7 linked regions of the Coturnix japonica genome follow. The protein of the gene in region 2 purifies or fractionates together with the protein of the main gene of each other region. This does not show direct contact. Links are inferred from orthologs where the notes say so. Each region holds a gene or a part of one and is shown on either strand. Other genes may lie near its edges. The genes, in order: COPS8, CUL4B, WDTC1, PHIP, EZH2, DDB2 and HDAC2.

What was found.
Region 1: the proteins of CUL4B (region 2) and COPS8 purify together in Homo sapiens (affinity purification with mass spectrometry; 7 studies listed by BioGRID and IntAct, counting the BioPlex papers as one, with this or other methods). This does not show direct contact. The link is inferred for Coturnix japonica from reciprocal best matches to the Homo sapiens genes CUL4B and COPS8.
Region 3: the proteins of CUL4B (region 2) and WDTC1 purify together in Homo sapiens (affinity purification with mass spectrometry; 4 studies listed by BioGRID and IntAct, counting the BioPlex papers as one, with this or other methods). This does not show direct contact. The link is inferred for Coturnix japonica from reciprocal best matches to the Homo sapiens genes CUL4B and WDTC1.
Region 4: the proteins of CUL4B (region 2) and PHIP purify together in Homo sapiens (affinity purification with western blotting; 8 studies listed by BioGRID and IntAct, with this or other methods). This does not show direct contact. The link is inferred for Coturnix japonica from reciprocal best matches to the Homo sapiens genes CUL4B and PHIP.
Region 5: the proteins of CUL4B (region 2) and EZH2 purify together in Homo sapiens (affinity purification with mass spectrometry; 4 studies listed by BioGRID and IntAct, with this or other methods). This does not show direct contact. The link is inferred for Coturnix japonica from reciprocal best matches to the Homo sapiens genes CUL4B and EZH2.
Region 6: the proteins of CUL4B (region 2) and DDB2 purify together in Homo sapiens (affinity purification with mass spectrometry; 11 studies listed by BioGRID and IntAct, counting the BioPlex papers as one, with this or other methods). This does not show direct contact. The link is inferred for Coturnix japonica from reciprocal best matches to the Homo sapiens genes CUL4B and DDB2.
Region 7: the proteins of CUL4B (region 2) and HDAC2 purify together in Homo sapiens (affinity purification with western blotting; 3 studies listed by BioGRID, with this or other methods). This does not show direct contact. The link is inferred for Coturnix japonica from reciprocal best matches to the Homo sapiens genes CUL4B and HDAC2.

What each region holds. Positions count from the first base shown.
Region 1 is NC_029522.1:4,153,717-4,157,921, forward strand, and holds the start of COPS8 (COP9 signalosome complex subunit 8), read left to right. Parts: upstream 1-1,405; 5' UTR 1,406-1,465; coding exon 1,466-1,543; intron 1,544-1,733; coding exon 1,734-1,804; intron 1,805-2,104; exon of another isoform or gene 2,105-2,176; intron 2,177-2,515; coding exon 2,516-2,564; intron 2,565-3,591; coding exon 3,592-3,724; intron 3,725-4,205. UniProt on the Homo sapiens protein: Component of the COP9 signalosome complex (CSN), a complex involved in various cellular and developmental processes.
Region 2 is NC_029519.1:15,299,821-15,303,320, forward strand, and holds part of CUL4B (cullin-4B), read left to right. Parts: intron 1-1,011; coding exon 1,012-1,115; intron 1,116-2,494; coding exon 2,495-2,564; intron 2,565-2,973; coding exon 2,974-3,047; intron 3,048-3,500.
Region 3 is NC_029538.1:1,715,706-1,719,205, reverse strand, and holds part of WDTC1 (WD and tetratricopeptide repeats protein 1), read right to left. Parts: intron 3,328-3,500; coding exon 3,233-3,327; intron 2,183-3,232; coding exon 2,067-2,182; intron 1,647-2,066; coding exon 1,571-1,646; intron 321-1,570; coding exon 224-320; intron 1-223. UniProt on the Homo sapiens protein: May function as a substrate receptor for CUL4-DDB1 E3 ubiquitin-protein ligase complex.
Region 4 is NC_029518.1:72,502,559-72,506,804, reverse strand, and holds the start of PHIP (PH-interacting protein), read right to left. Parts: upstream 2,801-4,246; 5' UTR 2,783-2,800; coding exon 2,737-2,782; intron 2,650-2,736; coding exon 2,591-2,649; intron 2,405-2,590; coding exon 2,375-2,404; intron 2,272-2,374; coding exon 2,212-2,271; intron 1-2,211. Other genes in the region: translation initiation factor IF-2-like, read left to right, coding at 2,801-3,571.
Region 5 is NC_029517.1:75,450,826-75,455,099, forward strand, and holds the start of EZH2 (histone-lysine N-methyltransferase EZH2), read right to left. Parts: upstream 2,801-4,274; 5' UTR 2,751-2,800; coding exon 2,692-2,750; intron 2,216-2,691; exon of another isoform or gene 2,004-2,215; intron 1-2,003. UniProt on the Homo sapiens protein: Polycomb group (PcG) protein. Catalytic subunit of the PRC2/EED-EZH2 complex, which methylates 'Lys-9' (H3K9me) and 'Lys-27' (H3K27me) of histone H3, leading to transcriptional repression of the affected target gene.
Region 6 is NC_029520.1:20,669,466-20,672,965, forward strand, and holds part of DDB2 (DNA damage-binding protein 2), read right to left. Parts: intron 1,504-3,500; coding exon 1,337-1,503; intron 231-1,336; coding exon 131-230; intron 1-130.
Region 7 is NC_029518.1:58,978,486-58,981,985, reverse strand, and holds part of HDAC2 (histone deacetylase 2), read right to left. Parts: intron 1,027-3,500; coding exon 885-1,026; intron 1-884. UniProt on the Homo sapiens protein: Histone deacetylase that catalyzes the deacetylation of lysine residues on the N-terminal part of the core histones (H2A, H2B, H3 and H4).

The sequences.
Region 1 (4,205 bases), on a different chromosome or scaffold from region 2:
CAATCCTTTCAAGCCAAAGAGATCTCCCATTAATTTAATCTGTCCAGATTTGCCAGGGGCCACATTTTTAGTGCTTAAATCAAAGAGAAGCTCCCCAAAACAGCAGATGACCCTGTGAACCCTGTGAATGACCACTGAACTGACCCATTCAGTCACTGGAGATACAAGATGGCGCCCACAAGGCCATCAGTTGACATGGGAGGGGACAGCCTGTAGGAGCTGGGATTTATAGATGAATCCTGCTGGAGCTGAGATGAAGATGAGATATAGGGATGTATGATGTGCTCTCCAGAGGGCAAGGAGTGTGAGGAGTGGCTGGAATTCCATGGAATATTTCACTTCCAGAGGCTGTTCTTCACTGGGTGGAAGCTCTCATCTCTCCCAGCATGGCTGTGAGATATGGGAGAGGTGGTAAAGAGGAGGGTGAAAAGCAAACAGAGAGAAAGAGGGGTGGGGGGAGGTTGGGGGCAAGAAAGGGAGAGGAAAGGGGTACTTCTAGCTATATTGCTTGCATGGAATCTGTGGTTCTGGTGGTTTGGGAAGCTCAGCTAACAGCACTGGAAAGCAGCAGCTTCTCCCTCGTCCCAAAAGCTTAATGAAAGACTGTAAAAAATAATATATATATATATTATATATATATATAATTATTATTATATATATATATATAAGGGTGCCTGGCTGTCTCAAACCAGAACAAGATTCTGTCATGCTGGGGACAGCGGGACACGTGGAGGCGACCAGGAGATGAACTAGAGCAAACTGGAGCAGAACAACAAACCCACCCTCCTACCTCCCCGTGTTTTATGCCTTTCCCTTGCAGCTGGTGCCCTCTTGTGGATAGCTCTCACCACTCCATTTTTGCCCGAATATATCTATATATCAATAGATATACACCTAGGATACGCTTAGAGGATGTGCATACACAGAGATACCCCATTTTTGCTATCCCATTTTTGCCGTTTTTAAATGGATGTATGCACCCTATCTCTTGCATATATGTATATACACATATATGTATATATGTTATATATTATACACACATATATATATCACATGTATATACATATATATTATATATTCTACATATATATGTATATTATATGTATATGCATATACATATATATATGTATGTATCTCCTAGAAATATATGTGCGTAGATATGGAGATATATGTATGACTATAACATCCTACACAGAGATATACGGGCTGTACCACAGTATCCAATCCACGTGTAATCCCTTTTATACATCATCCCATAAGCAACGCATAATAGTGGAACCCAGCCCATTTGCAACCAGACCCACGTTAATAAGAGATAGAAGCCAACCCCCCAGCCCTCCCCTTCCCTCCCCGAAGTCCTCCAGAGCATTAGAGAGCTACAGAGAGCGGAGGTGCGTCATGGCTGAGACGGAAATGACGGCAGGCGCGGCCGCCGCCTGAGGGGGGCAGTTGTGTCGGCGGGACGATGCCGGTGGCGGTGATGGCGGAGGGCGGGTTCGGCTTCAGGAAGCTGCTGGAGCAGTGCGAGACTCAGGAGCTGGAGGTGCTGGGGGCCGCTGTGGGGTTGTGGAGGGGCTGGGGTTGGAGCTGGCCGCTTGTGCCGGCCCAAAGGGCCTCGGGGCTGCGGGAGAGTGAGAGCGCTGCGGTGTGGGTTCCTCACAGCGCTGTGGTAATGGCCGTCACACCGAGCTGCTTTATAATGCTTAACAAAGGGATTTGTGCTTGTCCTTTAGGCCCCTGGAGGAATCGCTACACCCCTTGTTTATGGCCAGCTCCTAGCTCTGTACCTGCTGCATAACGACATGTAAGTGGCTCTTGTTAATCTTTAACCTCAGGTCCTGGAGCTGTTACTATTAGCCTGATGCAGATTGATCTGCAGTTATTAGGTTACTAACTAGTCGTGTGACTAACAAGGTGCGTGTAAGTAAATGCTGCCAAGAGTTCCCCTGTGTTGGCTCTTCCATGTTAAAGAACTGTAGTCCTTTAACAATCCATCAGGCTACGTTTAAAAGTAAGATTTGGATTCTTTCCACTTAAAATTTTATTGAAATAGTGTTTATTCATCCAGGCAGAGTCAGTGGCGCTGTGGGATATGAAGACACTCGGCTCGTTGGTCTAGGGGTATGATTCTCGCTTAGGGTGCGAGAGGTCCCGGGTTCAAATCCCGGACGAGCCCTTCTTTTCCAGGTTGGAACTAGATGAACCTGAAAGGTCCCTTTGCAATCTAAGCCATCTTATGATTCTCCAAGGGCAAATTCCATCCCGTGTTGAGGTTGTGTAGTAGGTTCATTCAAGTTAATTTTGATATGATACTGTAGAATTGTGCCATTAACAGAACTTGTACCATTAACAAATTAACTATCAGTGCTTCATTTTTAGCTCTTGCTCTATAAGTTTCTATTTTTGTTTTATAATACATCAGTGCATTAGTATGTGTGTGAATTTATTAATACATGAAGGTTGGTGGGGGGTGTGCTCAAGAAAGGCACTGACAAGTCTTTTAAACTTTCTTTAGGAACAACGCACGGTACCTTTGGAAAAGAATCCCTCCTGCTATCAAATCTGTAAGTACTCCATGAAATTCCACTTGATACTAAACCATGTAAGCTTGAAAACAATGACTTATTTCCTCTCTTGAGGTTTCTATTTAAGTAGCTTTGGGCTTGGTTCTGTGCTGTGAACACATTACCAGCATGCTGGCCTTCCAAAGATCTTCAAGTTGCAAATCTATCTATTCCTTCTTTTCCTTCTCAATTAATCTCATGACGTAGTTCTCTAAATCTAGAGGTTTTATTATAAAGCCTCAAGTTAAAGAGTAGTCAGCTGGAGGAAAGCAGTGACTCTGCTCTAAGTATCTGATTCTGGGCTGCAGTTGCCCTCCATGTGAGGATGCAGAATACTTTATGCAGTGAGTTATAACTTGATGTTAGTTGTACCCTCAGATTTCACTTTCTGAAGGTGCTTTGTTTTGCACCGCCTTTGGATCCAAGACGCATTTTGAGGCTTTAGCTACTTAAATCAAAGATATTAGTCTATTACCCAGGCTGGTGTTTGGTTACTCTGGTGGAATGGTGTTCATTCTCAACCTGTTGAGCAATATGCAACACAGTAGCCCTTAAAACCAGTAGTGGGAAAACAGTGAGCATGATACCATTTTAAGCGTGATCCATGTTCAAGACTTTCAAGCTAAATTGCTTTCACTATGCAAACAGCACCTGCACTCTGTAAAGGCTATGTTGAAGAAGGAGGCATCTCTTTGAGGAGGGAATAAGCTGTGCTTGTCCTTTGGCAGCTCCAGTCAGCAGACTGAGTACAAACTATCCTCTTTGGCTTTAGCTGCTTTGCCAGCCTGAATTGATACAACTGCTGTGAGCAGACTTTGCTCATGTGAGTGATAATCTTTGGCAGAAGGATGGGTCAGGAGTGATAACAGCAATGGTAGTTATTAAAACAAGAATTCCCAGTGCTCCTCTCTTCATCATTATGTATATCTCCTTGCAGCAGGGAAAGGAAGGCAGTAGGAATGAGTTTGTATGGAATGGTCTTTGTAGAGGACAGACAACTCTAAATTAACTGTTTTTGTCATGACAGGCAAATGCTGAGCTTGGTGCAGTTTGGTCAGTAGGACAAAGAATCTGGCAAAGAGACTTCCCAGGAATCTATACGACGATCAGTGCACATCAGTGGTCTGAGACTGTTCAACCAATCATGGAAGCACTGAGAGGTACAAACTGAATTCCTGCAGGTAGCATGTAACCTGAAGTTATCTGTGGATCACAGAATCACAGAATGACCCGGGTTGGAAGGGACCTCAAGGATCATGTAGTTCCAACCCCCCTGCCTGGCAGGGCCACCAAACATACACCTTTACTAGATCAGGTTGCCCAGGGCCCCGTCCAACCTGGTCTTGAACACCTCCAAGGACGGGGCATCCACAACCTCCCTGGGCAGCCTGTTCCAGGGCCTAACCACTCTCCTACTAAAGAACTTCCCCCTAACATCCAACCTAAATCTTCCCTCTTTTAACTTAAAACCATTTCCCCTAGTCCTGCTATTGTCAGCCCTTTCCAAGAGTTTACATTCTTCTTGGAATTTCAAATACCATTTGTTTTATTCTGTGGTAGCACAATGGACTAGTAGATACACAACTTGCTCAAACTCATTTAACCAAGAATGCTGGCGGTTTGGTTTGGCGTTTCATAAGC
Region 2 (3,500 bases):
AAGTACGGTGAAATAGCTGCAGGGGTCAGAGTGCTGCTTAGAAGTGAGGCTGGCAGGGCTATGCGGGCAGCTAGCAAATCAGGAACATCCATCTTTCTTGCTCTTTGTTGTCTCCTCCAAAATAAGTGAGAGAAGTAGTAGTCTGCTTACTGCACTCGATGGAACTTTATCAGTCTCTTTAAATTTGGTGTTTTCAATCATTGTTTTCTTCTGAAATCAAAGTAGCCATTAAACAGCAGCAGATCTTGGGAATTAATGTTGAGCCTACCCCTATGGGTGGTACAGCACGATAGAGTTGATTGTCCTTCACAACCTACTCTGAAATGTAATCTGGAATGTGTTCTTATTGTATTGTTGTGTTTGTTTGGGATTCCTTCCATGTTAAGAGTTAAATTTATTGCTGTTTACAAATACTAAGATCTGTGTATTTTGACAATTTCTGTCTTTTCTAATAATCCGAACTCAGATGTCACATACCTGGCTCATATTTCTGTACATTGGTGCTTAGAAGATGCTGGCTCAGCTTTAATTGTCACGCTTACTCTTGCTCTACCTGTTTCTTTCTGTCGAGCTTATGCAAGTTTGATTTTCCTGTTGGCAGTGTTGGCTGGTTTTTATTTTGTTCCAGCTTTGCTGTGTCACAGAGCCCATATTTACTGACTGCACTTGTGCTGCCTACATCAAGAAGTGCTGTGTACCCCAGGAGTGATTACCAGTTTAACTGCTTTGATTATTGCTGTGCTTGTAATGGTGGCTGTTAGCAAGTATTTGAGGGGGCTTCAATGTGATGGAATAGGCGTGCTCTAATAAGACCTCATGTTTTAATCTGCTCAGGGCACAGCTCTCCTTTGTCTCTCAGTACAGTTGCAATGTCTTGTATCTCTAGTGTTTGGCATGAAGATGATGGACTCTGAGTGAGAAGCAGAAGAATCCCATGTCTTTTTTTTTCCTTGTAAAACCACATGTGAGAGCATAAACAGACTTCTTATAATTGCTTTCTCTTTATTTCAGGCTGTTGAAAATCTCTGCTCCTACAAGATTTCAGCAAACTTGTACAAACAATTGAGACAAATCTGTGAAGACCACATTAAAGCACAAATTCACCAGTTCAGAGAATATCCTTTTTAGCTGTTGACAAGCCAAAATGTTTTTACCTGCCAGTTTGTAGTGATGGATTTCTCTAAGTAGTTCATGACACTGAACTATGGTGAGCTGAATTCCTGGTTTTTGCATAGTTGGTTCTAAAGGTGCTTTTGTACGACCTCGTGAAGACCAATTCTGGTTCCTTTGTAACCATCTGCAAACTTGTTGAGAAAGTTTCATTAGTTCTTAAGAAACATTTTGACATTTTATAGAAGTTCAGATTAGACTTCAGAGTAAGACTTGAAAGACCGTTCATTGTATCACATGCTGAAATTGCCTCGTTCAGGTAAATAGGAAAGTTGGAGCAACTAGTTCCTGTCTTGTTTGAAAAGTCCTTCTGGTCTGGGGAGGTACGATGGTAATGGTTCTGGGGATCAAATTATGCTTCATCTGGAGAAGTCTGGAGTTGCATCAGAGTGAGATCCTGTTAAGTGGGTTTTGATTGCTACCTGAATTATGCTGCAAGCTGAATTTTGAGGACAAATTTTATCTCCTGATGTTACCTGTTAATGTGAACAGAAGTTACTGTACCTGTATTGTAGTAGTGGGGTCTTATATAGGAAGGCTGCTCTAAAGGTAATGCCTCCTATTTTATGATGTTGATGGAATGGCAATAGAGGCCGAACCTTCCCACCAGTGTCCCATTATGTTGTGTGGCCATGTGACAGATAACAGCAGAGGGATACTCTGGCAGAATGGCACCTGACATGGGACTGTGTAAGGAGCAAAGGGCTGGAACTTAATTCTTAATTCTTTCACGCAGTAAGAATGCACACATTGACATTCATTGACACTTGGTGATCATGGATGGATATCAGATAGTAGATGTGAGCACAGTGAGGGCTGGTGCGGATAGTTATGAGAGTGGCATGCAGGCTTCTGTTCATGGCTGGTGCAAATGCAGAGCTAGTGGTGGTGGTGACTGTTGAAAAACAGTGTTTTGTGGCTGTGACTTTGCTCTATTGTGCTCTATCGGCTAGTGTTACTGTGCCCCTTCTGGTTGTTTCTGTGGAAATAAATAGGAGGCGTTACTTTTGGAGCAACTTGTGTATGTTGTGCATTACTGGGGTCTCAAGTGTATGGGTTTTCAGTGTTCTCTACATATGTCCTCACCAAGATGTGACACTGGACAAAACATTCAAAGTTAGAGTTGTTGGGGTTTATCATTACTGAAAATAGTATGTCTGTACTATGGCCTGCATTGGGAATTAACGACTTGAAAGAAATTAGGTGGTTCTACTTGGTACTAGATGAGTTGTGTTGTTAAGTGGTTTTTTTTTTGTTTGTTTTTTTAATTAAATTCAATGCTAATGCAATCTGATAATCATAATTTTCTTAATGATTTCTTCATGGATTCATTGGATAGTGTTCTTTTTCTAAAGAAAATAGACAAATGTTGGCAAGATCACTGCAGACAAATGGTAAGTTTTTTTTCTTTGTGAAGAAACGCAGTTTACTAGTCCAGCTGATGCTTTACTTAATTCTGTTCCTTTACCAAGGAGACGTGCTTCTGAGACATTGCCTTATATTTTGATAAGGCTTCTTTGTGAAATACATAGTATCTAGTATATTAGAAATAGAGACTTGAAAATATGGTGGTGTATTTCTTTATGTGGTGTGACATTGGAGCAGGTGCCTATTATGAAAGAAGCTATTTTTCTTTTCCGGGGGAGGATGCACAATGTCACATTGAATGTCCCTCTGGGATTGGCAACGTGCTTGAAACTTCACTTGGGGAATTCTTTGTTGTTGTCATTGAGCATAATTTGTTTTGCTCTTCAGTTTCAAGAGTGAAATAATTGTGACTCTTTTAATTTCTTCTCATCCCAGATTATGATTAGAAGTATTTTTTTGTTCTTGGACCGAACTTACGTACTTCAGAATTCGATGCTGCCATCTATTTGGTAAGGTCAAAAAGAATAACATAATGAGGGGGTTATTTAAATTATCACTTGTCTGGCAAAGTACTTTCCACTGACCTGTAAATTAGATGGTGAATATGTACCTCCTTCTTGCATTTTTAATATCCTTACCGTGAATTGCAGATTCTTTTAGAATAACTAGAAAATAATAGAAAATAATAGAAAGTCTAAGCTAAGTAGATACCAGCATCCAGTTTGCACAATAAAAAGGAAAAGGTATGTTCAGCAACTGAAGTGCTAGGGTTTGGCTTGTCTGGTTATTGCTTCTTACGTGTTTAGTATTCTTTGAATGTTTTGGAAGGCAAAAAGTTACCTAAAATAAGAACAAATTATTCTTCCTCTCTTATTCTGGTAATTGAGCAAATGCCCTTCGATGCCATTACCATACTGTGTTTGGCTCTTGATTAGGAGCTAAACTATGCGAATTACTTTGCC
Region 3 (3,500 bases), on a different chromosome or scaffold from region 2:
AGACCATGCTTCTCCTACGATGCTACAGCCTGATTTGATTCCTGTTCTTTGCCCAAACACCAGGAGCAAATACAGCCCCTAAGACAGAGACCGCCTGACAATCACGCTAACAAAGCAAGTGGGTTTGCACTTCACACCTTGTTTAGGAGCACCTAACCCTGCAAAAAGGAAAAGGATGCGACCAAAGCCTCACGCTTTCATTTAGGTAGATCTATTGCCTTACCTCACGTGTGCTCTTCCCTCTGACAGGCGGAAGCCATTGCTGTGGAGATGGATGCCATTCGACACTCCATTGGTAGAGGTTTTCCCATTCTGCACTTCTAAAGGTTAGGAAAGAAAAGATACAAACATGCCACTCATCAACATGGATTATACAGATTAATCCCTGAAACTCTGGGGTTTAATTTTACAGCACAGCTGAACCAATGCCACAGCACCATTCAGAGCACAACCAAACAGGCTTCACAATTCCACACATCCCTGTCTTCCAGCTGCTTGGATTTGATTTGTCCTCTTATATCTACCACCAAATCTCTACCACTTCAGAGGCTGGGAAACTGAGGACACCATCCAACTGCTCAGCAGAACAGCTCAGAGCTCTCAGTATGCAGAGACGTGCATGCACATGAAGTACACGTGCTGCCTTCTCATAGTCCTTGCCTGAACTTTCTGTACCCAAAAGGGTGGAGCATTTGTTGAAACCATACCACTACAAACCTGTTCAAACTTTTTCCTGCCATGTAAAGTATGACCTCGCCAGATACCACAGCACAGATCACCCGCAGGCATTCAGGACAGAAGAACAGCAAGCAGGACATCTATTTGCTACCAGGATGTGAGTGGTAGATTAAGGCCCAAGGCGAGCTGAGTACACAGACTGAACCCTGAGAGCAGAGCTGGGCAGGGAACACTCCCTGATAAGAGAGAGTCGGCCTCTGCCCCAGGGACAGAGCACTAGATGTTCACTGCGTAGTGCCTGCAGGGTCTGTGTACCAACAGGCCCTGTAAGAAACAGGGCAGGGAATAAAAAGGCTCTTGGATTTACTTATTTGTCAAGTAAATGGCTTTTTGAACCAACTAGCTTACCAGCAGGAGGGAGATTAATGCCAGGCCACATTCTTAGACCAGGAAAGAGATTGTTCTGTCTCCTTCCTAATGGGTGCTTAAAGGGATAACAGCTGCATTCTACATTTTATATAAAATCAAATAAAAACACTGCACCATTTTTTATGTGTCTGCATAAAAAGTTTTTCCCCCTTAGTTAAAGGCAAGGCACTAAGACTTCAATCACTCTACAAAGTCTGCCTTACTCTTTAGGTACAGCTTTAAGAGTTCTCAGTGCACACACACCAACAATTCTCAGCAGCTTTCTCCCCTCCAGACACACGTTTCCACAGAGTTTTGTCACCATGTGTAAGAGTTTTAGAGCTCAGAGTATGAGCTGCAATGCAGATACAGCCCACCAACAGCCATGCCCTACTTCCTTTCCTTCCTGCCTGCCCAAATGAGGGCTGCACAGTACACGGTTGCACTCTGCCTTCCACTTAATTCATGACAGCATCACACTTACCCCCTGAAGTATGGCATTTCTTTGGGAGGAGGAAAGTGTATGGCCGCTGTTTGTATGTGAGATCAAACAAATAGACCTAAGAAAAGAAGAAAGCAGTTGACAACAAAGTCAGTGATACACGGATGCTCAAGGGACAGAAATAAAACAAAGCTAAATGGTTTCACATTGGTGTTAGTAACATTGCCTATCTTCCATCCTGTTTATAGGCGTGTGCCCATAAAATAATGGCAGTGCCAGTGTCTTGCTGCATTCCAGCACTGCATTTATAAAGGACACCACTGAGAAACAGGAGCTTTGTCTTCTTCACAAGGTTCAAACCAACCCATTCACAAAGTTCAAACAAGAAGATATTTTAACTATTTCATTAACACAGTGATCACAAACAAATTAAACATGTATGGGCGGGTAAGCAGCAGCCCCAGAGCTTGGGTCAATGGTGAGCCAGCAAACACAACTGCACTTGAAGCTTCCTGCCAAACTCTTCCCTACTTCTTACCTGCTCCCCTCCCATGTTGACTAAGAGCTCGGTGCCATCAGGACTGAAGGTGACATACGTAGCTACAAGAACCCTCAGCCGGTTGTTGTAGTCTGGAAGCTTCACTGGAAGGTGTCCTGCAAAGGGAAGAGGTCCACAGGATTAGAATAACTCAGAACTGTTGCCTTAGTCCTACACCAGCCCTGTGCTTTTACAAGAAGTTGTTAGGAGAGCAAGAGCATAAAGCACACACAGCAAGTGATCTTCCATTTCCTATCACTGCCTGCTGAACTGGCAACCCAAACACTCAGATGTACGAAGCTGCCTTTTCATGTGCTGCATGTGCTATTTCTGCAAGGCTATTTCCATGAAATAGGGAAGACCAGATTTCAGCTAGCTTGCTAACTGAAGTCTGCAGAACCCAGCACATCCTGGTTTTATGGATTCATTAAGGATTTAGCTTCTGCGATTTGTGGCCAGCCACGAACAAACAGCTCCATTTCCGACTGTCCAATCAGGTTTCCTTAATAAAGCCCTTAGCACAATCAGACCAAGGCTCCTAAATATTCAGCTCACACAAGGGTTCTTTTGCTTCAGACAGCAGATGTGTTGCATGACCAATTCAGGGGACCTACGAAATCCTCTAGTGGGACTCATCAGAAGCAAAGCTGTCAGCACTGGTCTGTTGGACGTGTTGGTCTAAGATATTAATAAAAAAAACCAACAACCTACAGACATTTTGGGGAAAAATCATATACAATGAGCACTGGAGAAGAATGCCTTCACACTGCCCAGACAACGCATTCCTGACTCCTCAGCTGCAGAATGAAGACAAACCACTTCTGTGCCAGGAAGGCTTTAAACAGCACCCTCGCTGGAACCAGTTCCAGAAGGATGTCTAGACTCCTCAGGTTATCCAGTCCTCGACTTTGCAATAAAACTGACAAAAAGACACTGAAGACATTTATGCTAGACAAAGAGGAAGGCCAGCTCACCAACACACATCGCTGCCAAGTTGGGGAAAGCAGGCTGGTAGCATAAGCAAGAATTCACAGCACAGAAGCAAAATAATCTGCAATTCTGTACAACATCCCTCGATTAGAGAAGCGCTCTTTCAAGCATTGGTTCCTTGTGTGATGAGTAGAAGTCAGGCGTTAATCTAAAGCCCCATCAGTCTCCCCCAGTACCTGCCACGTAGTACTGTGCTGCGCCATCCGGGAGAGGCTTCTGCCGGTCGCAGAACGTGTGCACTCCAGCTGAAGGACACTGCTTCATGCTTTTTCTAGCCAGAAAGAAGACCAGTGTTACAATCACGGCATTCAAGCTGGAAGCCTGAGCCCTGCTGACACTTTCTGTTCATACATAAGCAGAAGCCCTCACAATCAGACCTGCCTCACACCACCCCACGTACTTGCTTGGATGAAAAAGACTCTGGGTGACAGAAAAGAGTGAGTA
Region 4 (4,246 bases), on a different chromosome or scaffold from region 2:
GGGCTCGAATCCCGGGGGTTGGACTCGATGATCTCTAAGGTCCCTTCCAACCCACACCAGACTGATACTGTAATTAGAAATGAACAAGTTTCTGTCGAATGTAACAAGTGAACAACACTTCTTTGTATCAAATGTAACCCACACCCTGCAGATACACCCCTGCAAATGAACTTCTGCACCGGTTTTCAGGAGCCTGAAACGTCAAGTGCTACAAAGTTCACACAACTTTGACAGGGAAAGCTAAAGCCAACATAAGGAAGAGAGGATCCAACACAAAGTAACCAACTTCTTTTCCTCCTCTCTCTCAATTCCCAGGCAGGACGAGGCAGAATAGGAAAACTTCCTGATCAACGCTTAATACTAGAAGAAAGTCTTAAGAATAAAGGAGGAGGAAAAGAGAAAGGATCCAATCACTACCATATTCTCAAACACGTGTACTCATGCTCAAGGCCAAACTGTAAGATGCACATGTTACGCTCTTACACACTTCCACTGGCTAAATGAGGTATTTACCTACATTCCAGCAAACAAAAGATACTTGGAAAGAAGAGTCTGAATGAGCTCATTTTTCATTAAGACTTCTTAGCTCAACCTTTCCATTTTCTTCCTTGCTTTCTCTGTCCACGTTTTTCTTACACACTGATGACTCAGAAGAACCCCAAACCCATTCGACACCAAAGCTGCACCTCTGGTCTTTGAAACACAAAACACATTAAGAGAAAGGTTCACGTCAAGTTTTACCAAGTCATGGATGATCACTGTTTGAAATAGATAACATGGTCTTAAAAAGAATGAATTAAAACATATTCATTAATAGTTCAATTGGCCAAGTATCAGCACTTTAAAATTCCTGGTAGAGTTTCTTTCTTAGCTTTAATATCAAGAAAATGAGAAAGTGTCACCATCCAGGAACATGTTTCCCACAGGCCAATCGCTCTCAGTGTTTTGACACCCACGTGTGTTACAATGCACTGGCCAAACCTACTTCATGGTTTAGAAAAAGAAAACCACAATGCAATAAATAAAGTGTTCCAAGCGCAGTCAGCACCCACGATTCATGTTGTGCCATTCACCTACATGCGTCTAGAACAACACACATGTGAGCAGGGCTTAATGGCTGGGATGGGGGCTGCTCTTTCTCCTGAGGGGTGAGCTCTAAGTTCACAGTATCATAGTCTTGTATGGGTTGGAAGGGACCTTAGAGATCATCGAGTCCAGCCCCCGGGATTCGAGCCTCTGTGTAGCAGAGAGGCACTTCTACCACTTGCGCCACAGCTGCCTGAGCTCAGAACCAACGCATGCAGCCTGGAGGGAAGCACTACTGGGACAGGCATGGCTCAGCCTTCCAGGGACACACCATTAGCAGGTAGAGGCTGAATTACAGCACAGTACTGAAAACAGAACTGGCAACAAGTTGCTAAGACACCTAAAGTTCAGCTTCCCAACTAGCACCAGAAAACAGAGGTGGATGGATGGATGAATTGAGGCCCACCGCTGCTAGTGAGAAATACACCACGGCAAGCAGCACCTTGGCTAACCTGCTGTGAGAGCACAAGGTAAGAACAAAAAGAGGATTTAGAAAACAATAATAATAAGGAACCCAAGAGCAAAACACCCTGCATCTGCACTCAGAGCCTGGCAGCTCAGCTCGGCCCGCTCTGCACTTCGGATCCACGGCCCCCTGGCACGGATGGGCCCCTGGCAATGGATGTGGCCGTGCGGATGGCCGCGGTTCGGAGGCATTGTGTGCGCGGGGCGCTGCCGCCTGCTGGCGGTACAGCTGGCGCTACACCCGGCGCCGCTACCGACCGGCGGCCCCGGCCGCGCGCCCCCCGCTCGGCCCCGCCCCTCGGCGCGCCCCCGTGACGCGCTGCGTGTCCGTACGGCGCCTCCGCGCCTCGCGCAGTGCGGCCGCGAGCTGCGCCCCTCCAGAGCGGCGAGAGGAGACGGGGGCTCGGCGAGATCCCGACACATAAATACGGCAATAAAGAAAATGAAAGAGGGGGGGGAAAAAAAAAATAAAGAAAGAAACAAGTTCGGAATATTTTTTTTTTCAAGTTTTTTTTTTTTTTTTTTCTCCTTTTCCTCCCCTCCTTCTTTTTTTGCGGGAAATTCAATTTTTATCGGGTAGGCAGCTCAGGGAAGGGGAGAAAAAGCAAAGGGAGAAGCGGCGAAGCCCCGCACGCAGAGCGCGGCCCGGCGGTGCCTTACCAGGTTCTGGTAGCTGCGCGGGTGCTCCTTGCCCGTCCAGTCCGTGCGCTTGGGCAGCAGCTGCGGGGGGAGCGGACAGTGAGCGGGGCCGGCCCGGGGGCGGGAGGCAGAGGGAAGGGGGGGGGGGGGGGGGGGCGCCGCGGGCGGGGCGGGCCGCGCTTACCTCTTTCTCCGCCACTTCTCGGATCAGGACCTGCGGCAGCAACAAAAGGGGACGGGGGGGGGCAGGGAAGGGGCGAAACGGAGAATAAAATTAGGAAGGAGGAAAGAGGGGGCGGTGGGCGCGCGCCGCGAGGCTCCCCCCCCCCCCCACGCTCCGCCGCCTCCTCCTCCTCCTTTCCCGGCCAGGCCCGGCGCCATCCGCCCGCGCAGTCCGTACCTGAGCCGCTTGCTGGCAGGGCCCGTCCTCCAGAAAGCGGGCGATGAGGAAGTAGAGCTCTGCGGGGAGAGGGCAGGGTGAGGGTTGCGGCTCCCGGCCCCGCCGCCCGCCCGCCCTTTCTTCCCCCCCTCCCGCCCGGCACTCACCCGCTCGCAGCTCCGCCGTGTGCCTGCCGCCGCCGTCCCCGGACATGGCGAGGGGCGAAGCGGGATGTCGCGGGGGGGGCCGCGCCCGTCACCGCCGGCTCCGCGGGCAGCGCCTGTGCTCCGGCATTCGCCCCGCGGGCAGCGCGGCGGCGGGAGGAGGAAACAACAACTCGCGGCCGCCCGCGACGCCGCCGCCACCGCCAGCAGCCGCCAGCGCGATCCTTCCGCACGGAGAAAGAGTCCCTTCCTCCTCCGCTCCGCTCCGCGCCCCCCGCCTCAGCCCCGCAGCGCGGCGCCCCTCCCCCCAAGTCCCCGGGCGGGGAGGGAGGACGGGCGGCCCGCGGCTCCCGCCCCGCCGACACCGAGGGGAACAGCGTTGACCGGCGGCCCGGGCGGCTCGCGAGGGGAGAAGATGTCGGAGCGGCGGAGGCGGGGCGGGCGGGAAGGCGGCGGGCGGGATGAGGGGAGGCCGCTTTCTCTTCTCTGCGCCGAGCGGGCGGGCGGCCGGAGCGCGGAGGGATACGGAGCGAGCTGCGATGGGAGGCGGGGCCGAGCGGGCAGCGGGAGCCGGGAAGTGGCCGAGCGGATGGCGCAGCGCAGCGCAGCGCAGAGCCGAGCCCAGCGGGCACAGCGCCCCCGGGCAGCGCCGCTTCGGAGGGGGCGGCACCGCGACCCTCCTGCTGCCTCCCCCTGCTGCTCCCCGCCGGCTCCCCGCGAGGCCTCGGGGCGTGCAAGTGACACGGCGCTGCGGTTCCTTGTGCTGCTTGCAGGACAAGAAAGAAAAAAATATATATTGTTTTTCCGCTTTTTTAAACATTTTGCTTTTTTTTTTTAATTGTTTTTATTTTAATCGTTCTTCTCCTCGCAGAAAAAAAGCCGTCAGAGCGATCGTGGCGCCTTGAATCGCCGCTCGGCCTCGGACGCGCCGTGAGGTAAATAACTGCCGGCCGCTCGGGGCTGCGGGCACGGGTGGGCCGGACCGGGGTAAAAGCGGTACAGGTAAAGCGAGACCCGTGGTCACCCTCCATTTATAAAAGGTAAATAAATAGAAATGGACGACGATCGCCATCCCGGCCCGGTAAGTCGCGGTGTCACGGAGCGCTGCCATCCGTTTCGCGTTGTGCCGGCCCGGCTCCGCGCTGTATCCGGAGCTGGGCACCTTCCGTGCGGCTCAAAATGTCTCCCCTTGTGTACCAGCTCCCGTTCTGTCTTTGGGCTCCGTTTGAAATAAACGCTTTGAGCTGAATCGAAATGGGCAAAATTGGATCATCCGGTGTCAAATAAAGGCTGATGAAATGAAGTGACTCGGGTCGTTCTTAGCGCTGCACGACGTGTACGGTATCGTCTCTCGGAGGTGGCTCTCACAACAAAGGGCTGTGCGAGTGCTGCCATTAACATTTTAATTTCCCCTGGTGTTTACATATAGGAAAGCTCACTAATGTACGGCATCAACCTACCCCACGAGGAAGAGGGGATTTGTATCGGTTAAGGAGTCTGAAAGCAGATGAAA
Region 5 (4,274 bases), on a different chromosome or scaffold from region 2:
CCTACTTGCTAAGCCAAAGTTTCCTTGTAGATAAGCTGAAGTACATTTACATCTCACCTACAAATGCCATATCATAGAACAAATATAAACCCATTAGAAGGCATATTTCCAACAAAGTCACCCACGATATTTCAACTCATTGAAAATTCTAGGTAGAAGAAAATACCATGTGGAAAGCAAAAAATTTTGAATTTCTAGTCTCCAGCCTAAGCTTATAGACTATTGCTTTATCTGATTTTAAACTGAGCAAAGACTTTTAATGTTCTTCTGCCAATAAGTATTTTCAGTGTATGTCACTTTCAGAGTAATATTTTAGAATGTCTAAAAAAGTATTTTATTGCATAAAACTTTTGAATAATACCTCCTAAAGTACTAGAACCGTGTTTTCTGAAAGACACTGTAAGCCTTATCTATATTATTATGATCTAATATAAAGCAAGGATAGCTACCATACACTGTGGACAAGTAATACTCACCCTTCTGAAGATGCGTTATTGTTATCACAATTAAACATTCCCTGAACTCTCAATTTGATACAGACACTGGGGACAAACAAAGAATGACCTTTTAATTTTTACAAGTCACAAAGAACCGGAATGTGCCAAGCCCTAAAAATAATAATAATAAATTAAAAAATAATGGAAAAAAAGGGGGGTGGGGTAGGGGGAAAGAGGAAAAAGAGAAAAAGAGAGAAAGGACTTGTATATGAGGAAATCTCCGTTTAGAAGTTTATCGTGTACTAAAAATACCAGTAAAGTCTCGCTGAAGTACTGAACGGTTGGATCTGCAATTGCTCGACTTGCACAAAGACAAACCTATCCTGCAACAAATAAACAGACCAAACAAAAACAAAACCAAAAAACCAAACAGAGAAAAAAACCAAGGCCCTAGTTCCAATGAAATATACTGTTTCATAACTTTGAAAAAGTATCTTGAGCCAGGTACAGGTTCATTATACCATTTTTGCTACATTATGCTGAGACTGCTTTTCTTTCTGCCCATTCCTAATAATTTTTGGATGTTCGTACTTAACACCAGATACACATGCGTTGCGCTACAATACATTGATTTCATCACCTTTGTCTGATCACACACACGCCTGTTGCTCCAGCACAACTCCGTCCCTTTCACACCTCCCCAAACATGCCGATTTCAGAGATCGCCCCACACACCCGCGCTTTGCGACATTAGGTCTCCAACTCAGCAGTTCCAGCTCCCTCCGAACTCTGGAGGGCCGGTTAGCCGAGCAGCGCCCTTCCCGACGAGGAAGTTGGCCGGACAGATTGACTCCCGCGCCGTCCCCGCTCTCCCGCACTCGGTGCCCGTGAAACTCGCCGGGGGCTGGAGAGCCCCGTCGCAGACTGGCCGGCGGGACGGCAACGTGCGAGGGCGAGAGTGGGAACGCTCCGCTTCCGGGACACCGCGGGCACATGGGGCTGCCGCGGACCTACTCGCACCCCAGGGCGGGGGCTACCGCCGCGTAACAACTTCTGCACCGTGCTTCTCTCTCGGAGGGGGCTGAGGCGGACAGAACGGACTTGTCTTCGCGTTTCGGACTCACCGAGACCTCACCTTGCGTACGTTTAACACACGGATCCCCCCGCCGACCCCTCAGCGAAACCGTGCCAGAGGCAGCCGCCACCACAGGAGGCCGGCAGGAACGGGGAGGAGAGGAAACAGCCGGCTCCTACCCGCTCTTTCTCCCGCACGGCGCCAGTCGCCCCCCCCGCCCAAGGCTCCGCTCCGCCGAGCGCGGCGCGGCCAGGATGGACAGAGCCAACTCAGACAAAAGGCACCGTCGGCTCCGCGCCGCTCCCTCCGCTGTCAACGGCTGCAGAGCGGGCGCGAATCTCGCTGCCGCCCCCCACCCCATCCCGTTCCTTCAAGCGCGACGCGGCGCGCTGCTCGGGACCGAGGCGGTCGCGCCCTCCCTGTCTGCCTCCCCACCCCCCATAACAAAGGGAGTCGGTTATAAATAACTGCTCCCGGCCCGCAGCCCGTACGGTGGTTGTGGTGCTGCTGCCGCTGCCGTCCAGCTCACCCGTCCCCTCGCTCCAATCTCGTGCCACCGCCACCACAGCCGCTTCGCTCCCCGACTCTTCTTCCCTCCTGCCTCCGGCTGCCGGATTCACCCTCCCGGACCGAGCGCCAAATACAGTGGCCCAATCGGTAACACGTTCATTGGCGAGAGCCGAGCGCCGCCCCGATTGGACGGACGCGGACGGAGCGCCCCGAGCCAATCAGGGGCGGAGAGGGGCGGGGAGAGGGGCGGGGTCCGTGCCCCACGTGCTGGCGGGAAGGAGGGGTGGGGGAGCTCTTTGTTCTCGCGCTGCCGCCCGGGCTGGCGGTTTTGTGCCCTCTTTGCCCGTCCGTGTAGCTGAGCGGGCAGCGGGTCTGGAGTTTGAGGTGCTCCGGCCGCCGCCTCACGGGGACTGGGGAGGGGAGGGAGGCGAGGGGTCCGACGGGAGCGGGGAGGGGCCTCGCGTCTCAGTGCTGCTGAGTTTGAATCAGTTCGAAAGTGGGAGCTGTAACGGTTTTAACAGTCGTGCTGCTGCTTCCGCGCGCTGCAGAGAGGGGAGGGGACGGGACGGGACGGGACGGGACAGGACGGAGAACTGGGAGAGGCGCGTCTGCGACCAGGCGGGAAGATCCAGGCGGGGACTGGGGGTGTTGTTGGCAGGAGCTGCTTACCTCAGCACGGCCCGCTCCCTGCCCGTCGCTTCCGCGGCGGGCTCTCTCCTTCCCGGCATTGCGCCGTGCCGAGCGTTGGCTGGCTGAGTCACTAACCAGAGTACGTGATGCATCCTCCTGCCGTGTCATCTGACCTTTGCGCACCCAAACCTAGCACGTATCTGTCCTTTTGTTTCACGCTGTTGCTCACGAATTTTGGTGCCTTGCTGTTCTGTAACCAGCATGGATTCTTAACTGTCAAAATCCCATTGTGTCCCATCTTGGCAGTGATGGTAAATCACAGCAACAGCAAGGTGTCCATTCTGCATAAGGCTGGGATCCTGTTGCTAGTGATACACTGTCTCTAGCCTAAGGTTGCTACCATTTTCCCTCGTTTTTATTCTACGACTCAGTCACGTTGACAAGGAGGTACTTTAAACCTCAAGGATTCATTCCCCCTTAGCCTTCTTTTGTCTCACTGTTTGGCCACTGCAGCCCTTCTTTGTTGACTGGAAAAACAAAATTGCCAAGATAAGATCATGGTGGGAAACTTCCATGTATGCTTGTCACCATCTCTCCTTCCTAAGCCTCCTGTGTTCAGCACTACTTCTGAGGTAGAATGGATTGTGAGCCTTGTACCCTTACTGTCTGTTACCAGTGTTTCTCACCTTCCCTTGCAAATCACTTCTGATACATTCAACTACCTTGTCTCATCTTTGTGTGAAGCCCAAAAATTAGCACTGTCCACCATAATGAGGTTCTGAATGATAAAAATCCTATGAGAGAAGATCATTGACACAGCTTCATGCCCAAATCTTTCAGCTGCATTATAGGCCAAACAAGGATCAGAGTTCTTTTAATGTGGAACAGAAATTATTTCCTCTTATGTTTGCATGTCACGAAACGATATATTGTCATACTCTTTCTTTGATTCTACTAGAGTAGATGACCTTTTCCAAGATTACGTTAAAACTATCAACTTTGCAAAATGTCAGTCATTTCTTGAAATTCAGCTATTTAAATCTATTCTGCTCCAAGATGGCTGGCACCACCAAAATGGCTACCCAGTCTCTTCACAGCTTGGAACTTGTAGTTTTTTTATTGTTAGAATTGCACTTCATGAGATCTTATCTTAGTCTATATATATATATATATATATATATACAACTCCTGTGCTAAATAAGCATAGCGTAACTTTAAGCAAGCACTATAGTCAGTCACAAGGTGAAAAAAAGATGTGTGGAGACAACACTGAACTCAATTGCAGTACACGCTTCAGTTTTTGTCTTGCACAGAAAGTTATTCACCTGCTGTACGTGAAGCTAATGCTTACTAGAAAATAAAACACATTTTGAATGGAACTACTCTTTCTGTTTTGCACTCTGTGAAAACAATCTTTCCATGCTGCATTTCAGTTCTAGAAGTGATGAATCCTCAGTGAGGATCTCCACGAAGTGTCAATTTTCTGATCATATGGGCTATTTAAAATAACCTGGAGAATTCTGGCAGCTTGTTTCTTTTTTTCTGCACGTGGATGCTTAATGTTGTAATGAGCTGCTTATAGACTTTCTGTTTTCATGGAGTAAACCACCCAAACATTTTTC
Region 6 (3,500 bases), on a different chromosome or scaffold from region 2:
ACAATGGCAGACTCATCTTCTCAACTGCAAGGCATCTGTTTTCTTTTCCAGGCCCCTGTAGTGCAGGGAAGTACACAAGCCATGAAGATTCCCTCCCCCAAAAAAACCCACTGCGTGGAGTCACACTAACCTCTTCACCAGAAGTGCTGAGCAGGACCACGTTGCCCAAATTATCACCTGTCACCACAGCACGGCAGCTTGCAGAAACATCAACACTGCAGTACCAGCAGCTGGAGGGAAAGAGACAAGGTCAGTGCTACCTCCCACAGAGAGGTGAAGGCAGCAGAGCTCTAGTTCACACCTTATCCCTGTCTCTGACAAAGGAGAATGCAACAGATTGCATCTGTCATCTTCTCTCTGATCTGATACTATGGCCCTGAACAGCAGGAAAGGGGGTGGCTTATCAGCAATGCTAGCTTTTGGTGACTGAATATGAAATAATTCCTGAGGCATCTATGAAGTGCTCAATAGATGGAGTGTGGCACGCTGGGACAGTGGAATATAATAGAGGTTGAAAAGTCACTCATAAACTTCACATGGACAGACCCAAGTGACACTGGCAAATATATAGAAATGGATTTTTAAAATAGTTTTCCACAAAACAGGGAAGAGATGGGAAAGAAAAGACAAGAGCCCAGGATTAGAAAATTGCATTTCTAAGCTATCTGAACTTTATGCTCCTAGAAACAATCATGAATAGAGGCTTATCTCATAAAGACATATTTCTTAACCACACCTCTGCTGGGGTGCTAGGCCCAGCAAGAGAAAAGCTGTGTTCCTTTGGGAACTTGTTGGGAAAGCTTTGCTTGCACAGCTAAATTATCCTTGAATTGAAGATGGAAGAGATTAGCATGGAAAGCCTGAACTCCTCACAGGGAAAGTAGGGTAAACCCACCAAGATGAAATTCAGATTCTGCAGGAATGGTTTTTTGGAATTCCTATCCTGCCTGAGTTGCTGCACACAAAAAAACACAAACCACTGATCACAATGAAGAGAAGAAAGTTACTCTGTTCTTCTCGCCTCATATACTATACAGTGAAGCACTGTCAGTATCTACAAGATGGAAGATGGTGTTGCCAGAAAGCAACACCAGAAGGTGGATGCAGTGTACTCAGCTACTTTGAAAGCTAAATGCCCTGTGGCTGCCTTGCTTGTCACTCACCCTGTAGTCTTGGAGAGGGACCCAGGAGCCTACCTGAGAGCTCCCTCACATGACCAATTCGTATCAAGAATCTCCTAAAACTTGCAAAGAAGCATACATTTGCATGACCAGAGCCACAGCATTAACACAGGATTACAGAGCAGAGATTTAACCTGACTCTGCTCCCTTCTCACCAAACATTATGGTTCTCATGGCCACAGTCCGGGGCACGGGAGATCACCTGCACCAGTTTGCCCTCAAGGTCCTGCAGGCTTAGGGTGCCATCCCCTGATGCCACATAAAGCTTCGCTGACTCATAAGGACTGAACTTCATGCCTCCAAGAGAATCTCCTGGCCCTTTCTGGAATACATACAAAGCCAAAAGGTATCAAGGTTAGAATGGAAAAAATACAACCAATCTTCTGGAACACACTGCAGGATTCTCTCAGTACAACGCACAGCTTTCAGCTTTCTGGCAGGGGACTCTAACAAGAACTCTCTGATCTGTTTCCAACCTAAGCACATACATTCTGTATCTGTAGGTTCAACCCCATTGCTTTGGGCTGCAAACCTCATTAGCAGTACTGCTTCCTCTCCATTGGGTGCAGGACAAACGTGCAGTGAACCACCTACTGCTAACTACAAGGCACAAGAACCTCGTACTAGAGCTGTTTTCTCCCAGCTTGTCTTCTGAGGAAACATGGAAACCCTACAGAAATAAAGACAGAAAACAAGGATGCTGACTGGGAGTCCCCAAACTTGAGTTCCAGAGTGTCACTCTGCTGCTCATAGAGTAGCTACTTAATAAAGATGCACTGTAAATACTATCTATAAAGAGGCTGATGAAAACAAAAAAGCCCCAGTGCTTATCTGTCTTCGCAGCAGTGGAAGAAAGATGATGTGATGTAATTAGAGTGACGGGCATTAGGATGATTAGGATGGTGTGAAGGAATTAGTGTGATGGGCATTTCATCGGGATACAAGTTCCAGACCCACCCTGGGACAGGATCAAGGTCTATCCCACCTTATTCACCTATCTAGTCACCTCAGCATCACCACGGATCACCTTCTGCCTTAAGAAAAGACTGGAACAGACAGTTTGGAAGCCAACCACAAAAGCTGCTACCAAAACAGTTAGGTGGAGAAATGTAAAGAGGAGGCTAACCCAATTTCTCCTCACTCACCTTTCAATACTGAACAGAATTAACTAATTGAAGAGCTCAGGCTTCCTCATGAGTCCACAGAATAGACTGAGCAGGTGATTCTAAGCACAGGCAGATAGAATTGCCTCTAGAGATCCATCTCCTCATTTCACCAACTCTTAATTTTGGCATTTTACATAAGCAACAACAGTTAGGTGGAATGAATCAGGAGGATTCTTATGACATGCACCACTTGAAGTCAGTGGTGTTTGTGGAGAAGTACTGGGGGAACAAGAGATTATTCAGTAAAAAATACATCTGGCATTGAGCTGCATTGCTACCAGGTCAGGAGGCTGGAAGGTCCCAGGGCAGAGCTATGGAACTTAGCTGAAGAAACCCACAGGCACACCCCACACTCCCTTGTGTAACAAGTAGTACGCAAACAAACATCTACAGCCCTCCCCTTAACGAAGAAAAGCTCTCTCGTACCCACCACCCCATTTCAGAGAAAAATAAAAAGAGAAAGTGAGTCTCCCTGAATACAGAGAGCATCTCTGAAGTTTAGAGGACAAAAGACATGTATATGGACAAAGCCCCGCTCCCATATACAAGAGTCAAGCATCTCCCTTTCTCTCTCTTTCTTTACAGTGCTCCTGACAGCAGGACACAGAAGCCCAAAACATTGCTGCATTTCTTACTCCCAGTTCTCGGTGAAGGTGAAGACCCGTGAAATATTGCCATTAAAATCCTGCAGGGTGGTACTGCCGGCAAGTGATGAAGTGTACAGCTGACTAGGGTTAAAAGGGTTAAACTTCATTCCTGTGATGGCCCCTCCAGCTCCCATCTACAAGGAAGGGGATGAACAAGAGAAAAATCCACTGAGTGATGGGGAAGGTGGGAAATGCATTCTCTAAATCTGCAATCACTGCTATGTACTTAACAGCAACAGTGAAACACATTACAGCCATCCAGGAGGCAAAGACAACCATGCCTTCCCACACAGCAACTGTCTGGGCAGCAGCCCTTCCAGACAATAAAACTGTAACTCCTCCGGTCCCCAAGTACTGTATTCCTTGGCTGGCTGGCACCACAGTATTAAAAAGAGAAAGATGACTCTGGAATTCTCGGAGGATACATCTCCTCCCAGCATATACCTGTTTAATTTACAAAGGGACAAAAGTTAAGAGACTCTTCAAGTCCCTGTAGGAATGACAAT
Region 7 (3,500 bases), on a different chromosome or scaffold from region 2:
GTTTTTATTACTTTACCAATATAATAAGTGCATGTACAAACTAATGTAACAAAGCTGTTAACAAGGAATTGATTTATCCTTGGAGTGCTGTCACAGAGAAGCTGAAAGCAAGAGTATCAAGTGAAGAATATATTAATCTTCATATGTGAAATGATATTTCAATTTGCAAAGTGGAACAACTTCCTGTCCTGATGAGACAGAGTCTAATAGAAGGAATGGCTTAACTTACTTTAAAAAATAAAAATCTTAAGAGCCAGGCAAATTATTTTCCATTCTCAGCTGTGACTGAGATCCACCAGCAACTTAGATAATAATGCTTCACAGTCTGTTGTTCCCTTCTTCAAGTTAAATGTACTGTTAGTAAATCACCTGTGGAGCATGCTGATGTTTTACAGCAGTGGGAAGCATTAGAATTCAAAATGTACCTTATTAACGTAAGAAATAACAAGAAAAAAAACAAAAACAACTGTATTACTAAGCAAATCTAACACAGTAAAGTTGCATGAAAAATACTGTGACTACTAAAACTATTGTATACATTTATTTTAAGATCTGAATTAAGATTTGAAACCCTGTGATGTACAAAGACCTACTTTTCTCTATATCTGCAGAACTGAAAGGTACTGACTGTAATTACAAGTGCAGCACACTGCTCAGACAATATATCCAGAAGTCAAAGTGTTGGCTTAACTTATCTAGAGGGAAGCATAATTGCTTCCAGTATTTCTTCCTAAGGTTCCTCAACACAACTATTAATCCAGACAAACATGGTAACTTTACAGAAAATACATGTTATTATGGAGTATAATTGTGAAAGCAGTACAATCCACACGGAAGTGCATAAGAAGGAATTTATCACAATGAAATGTCATGCTCAATCTTACCCTAAGATCCCCCGTGCCTGGAAAATATTCACCATACTTATGGAAGGACACAGTCATGACACGGTCTGTGGTATAGAAAGCTTCCTCCACACCATCTCCGTGATGGATATCAATATCAATATACAACACTCTTTGGTGATACCTAGAAAGAAAATTACACATGTGAAATCACAATCTTCTGTTATGTCCATAAGATATCAATACCTACCAAAGAAAAATAGAAATAAATCACAGATTATGATAAAGTTTATAATTTTGAAGTTACCATAAATCTCAGAATTATCAGTACAGTTTGGATGATGGTAAAAATAAGCTCATCTTAAAGAGATTTTTATCACGCAACGCATTCAATATTTAACTGAGTTGTCCTAGTCAGGAGTAGTTTTACCTTTTAATCCTGTTCATACCAATTTCTGTTGTCCAGATCCTTTGAATTTACCCCTTTCATGGTACACTTTTGTCTAGTTTCTCAATGATTGCCAAAACATTCTGTAATGAAACAACTTGAAGTGTATGCCTTTCAAGAATTTTTGAAGAACCAGTGCCAGGAGCAGGTATAATCCATATTCCATAAATATTAAAATATCATTTTTTGCAGACTTATTTTCCATCAAATCTCCTTTTTCACCTCTGCAAAGACTAAAAGATATAAGCATGTTCTTGTTTCCAACTGTACTTACCATTAACATAAAACCACAGTATGGCTTAACAGTTCTTTGAATAGTGCAAGTTTCTGATCATTTTATTTGAGAGGAATAAAGAAAGCTGCTTCATGGCAAGAGCACTAAAAACTACAGTAAACGACCCTTAAATCCTGTGCTGTTCAGTAAAGAATAAAGTCTATCACCATCAGAAGACACTTTCACCAAATTTTTCAGTGCTATAAACTACAGAGCAGCCACAGTTTCCTGTGTGCTAAGATCTTTCTCTCTTAACAAGATACCAAATAGAACAGCTTCTTGCAGTGATATAACCCATATCTGGTTTGAAGTTTACTTCCTTCACATACAAGATTTAAAACCAGTATTCAAAACCAGACCACAGAAAAACCATATTGCTTTTATTAGATGGTAGAGACAATCACAATAGTTTTGGCTGGAAGAAATCACCTTGTTACAACTTCTATTGGAAGGGACATATTCCAATAAATCAGGCTGTCTAAAGCCACATCCAACTCTGCCTTGAACACTTATAGGGATGGGGCATTCACAGCCTCTCTCTGGGCAACCTCTTCCAGCACCTCATCACCCAGACAGTAAATAACTTCTTCCTAATAACTCCTTGTCCTATTGCTATACTCCCTGATGAAGAATTTCCCTCCAGCCCGCTTTTAGGTACTGGAAGGCCACCACAAGGCCTCCCCCTGAGGCTACTCTTCTCTAGAATGCAGAACCTCAACTCCCTCAGCTTCTCCTTATATCCTCAATATATGCATATTAAAATGAATGCTTTAATATGAAATACCTGTGCCTCCAGCAACTTCTTCCATTTTTAAAATTACTTCCTAGTTACAGCTATTTCCCTCTACTGCCTGCCACCAGCATATTCAGCTGCTCCACCGCCAAGCAGTCAAATGCCAATGTTTTTTGTAAAAAATAAGCCTTATGCGATTAGAAGAGATAAAGTCCCATTAAATACTGTAACTAATATTAACGACTTGAGGTTTTATTGACGCACTGTTGCTTGAAGGTAGTTTTGTGATCAATTCTGCATTACTCCCCTCTTCATTTATTACTCTACAACCAAAGCAGCACAGCTGTTATTTCATTGTTTTCTTAACAGCCACATTAACTTATGTAACAACACAAGAAATTTCAGTGTATGATTTTCCTTAGAATTCCTGTTTATTAGCAATGTCCTGAAAGATGGAAAATAAAAGGGCATAACTGAGAGATCAAATAGGTCTATGACTGAGAACAAAACACCTGAGGCTTCAGTGACCACTAGTCAGGCCAAAGCTCTCGACCACTATTCTGTCTCCATGAGTAGCAACAGAAGACAACTTTTACAGGAGAAAGCAAGCCTATCCATTTTCCAAGACCTGTTACCCAACATCTATAATTACAACATACGATATTTTTCAAGGGTGAATCACCTCTTGGTTCTTTCATAGAATCATAGAATCACAAGGTTGGAAAGGACCTGCAAGATCATCTAGTCCAACTGTCCTCCCTTTACCATACCTACAGAAAACTACTAAACCATATATATCTCCTAGCTCCCTATCCAGACGTCTCTTGAACATTGCCAGGGATGGTGATTCCACCACCTCCCTGGGCAGGCCATTCCAGTGCCTGACCACTCTCTGAGAAAAAAAGTTCCTTCTTATGTTCAGTCTAAACCTCATCTGATACAACTTGTGGCCATTTCCTCGGGTCCTGTTTGTTGGCTGGCAGAAGAGGCCAAGCCCCTCCTCATCACAGCTTCCCTTCAGGAAGTTGTAAAGTGCAATGAGATCTCTTTAGCTTCCATTTACAGATCTCCTGCCCAAGAACATGTCTAATTTTCAATCTAATGTCACCCACAGCTTCATTCAAGCTCCTGTAATAGTGATATCTAGAAGTTCACTACCCTTGTGCTTAAAAAGTACTTTAAGAACGTGTTTCAAAGCTATCT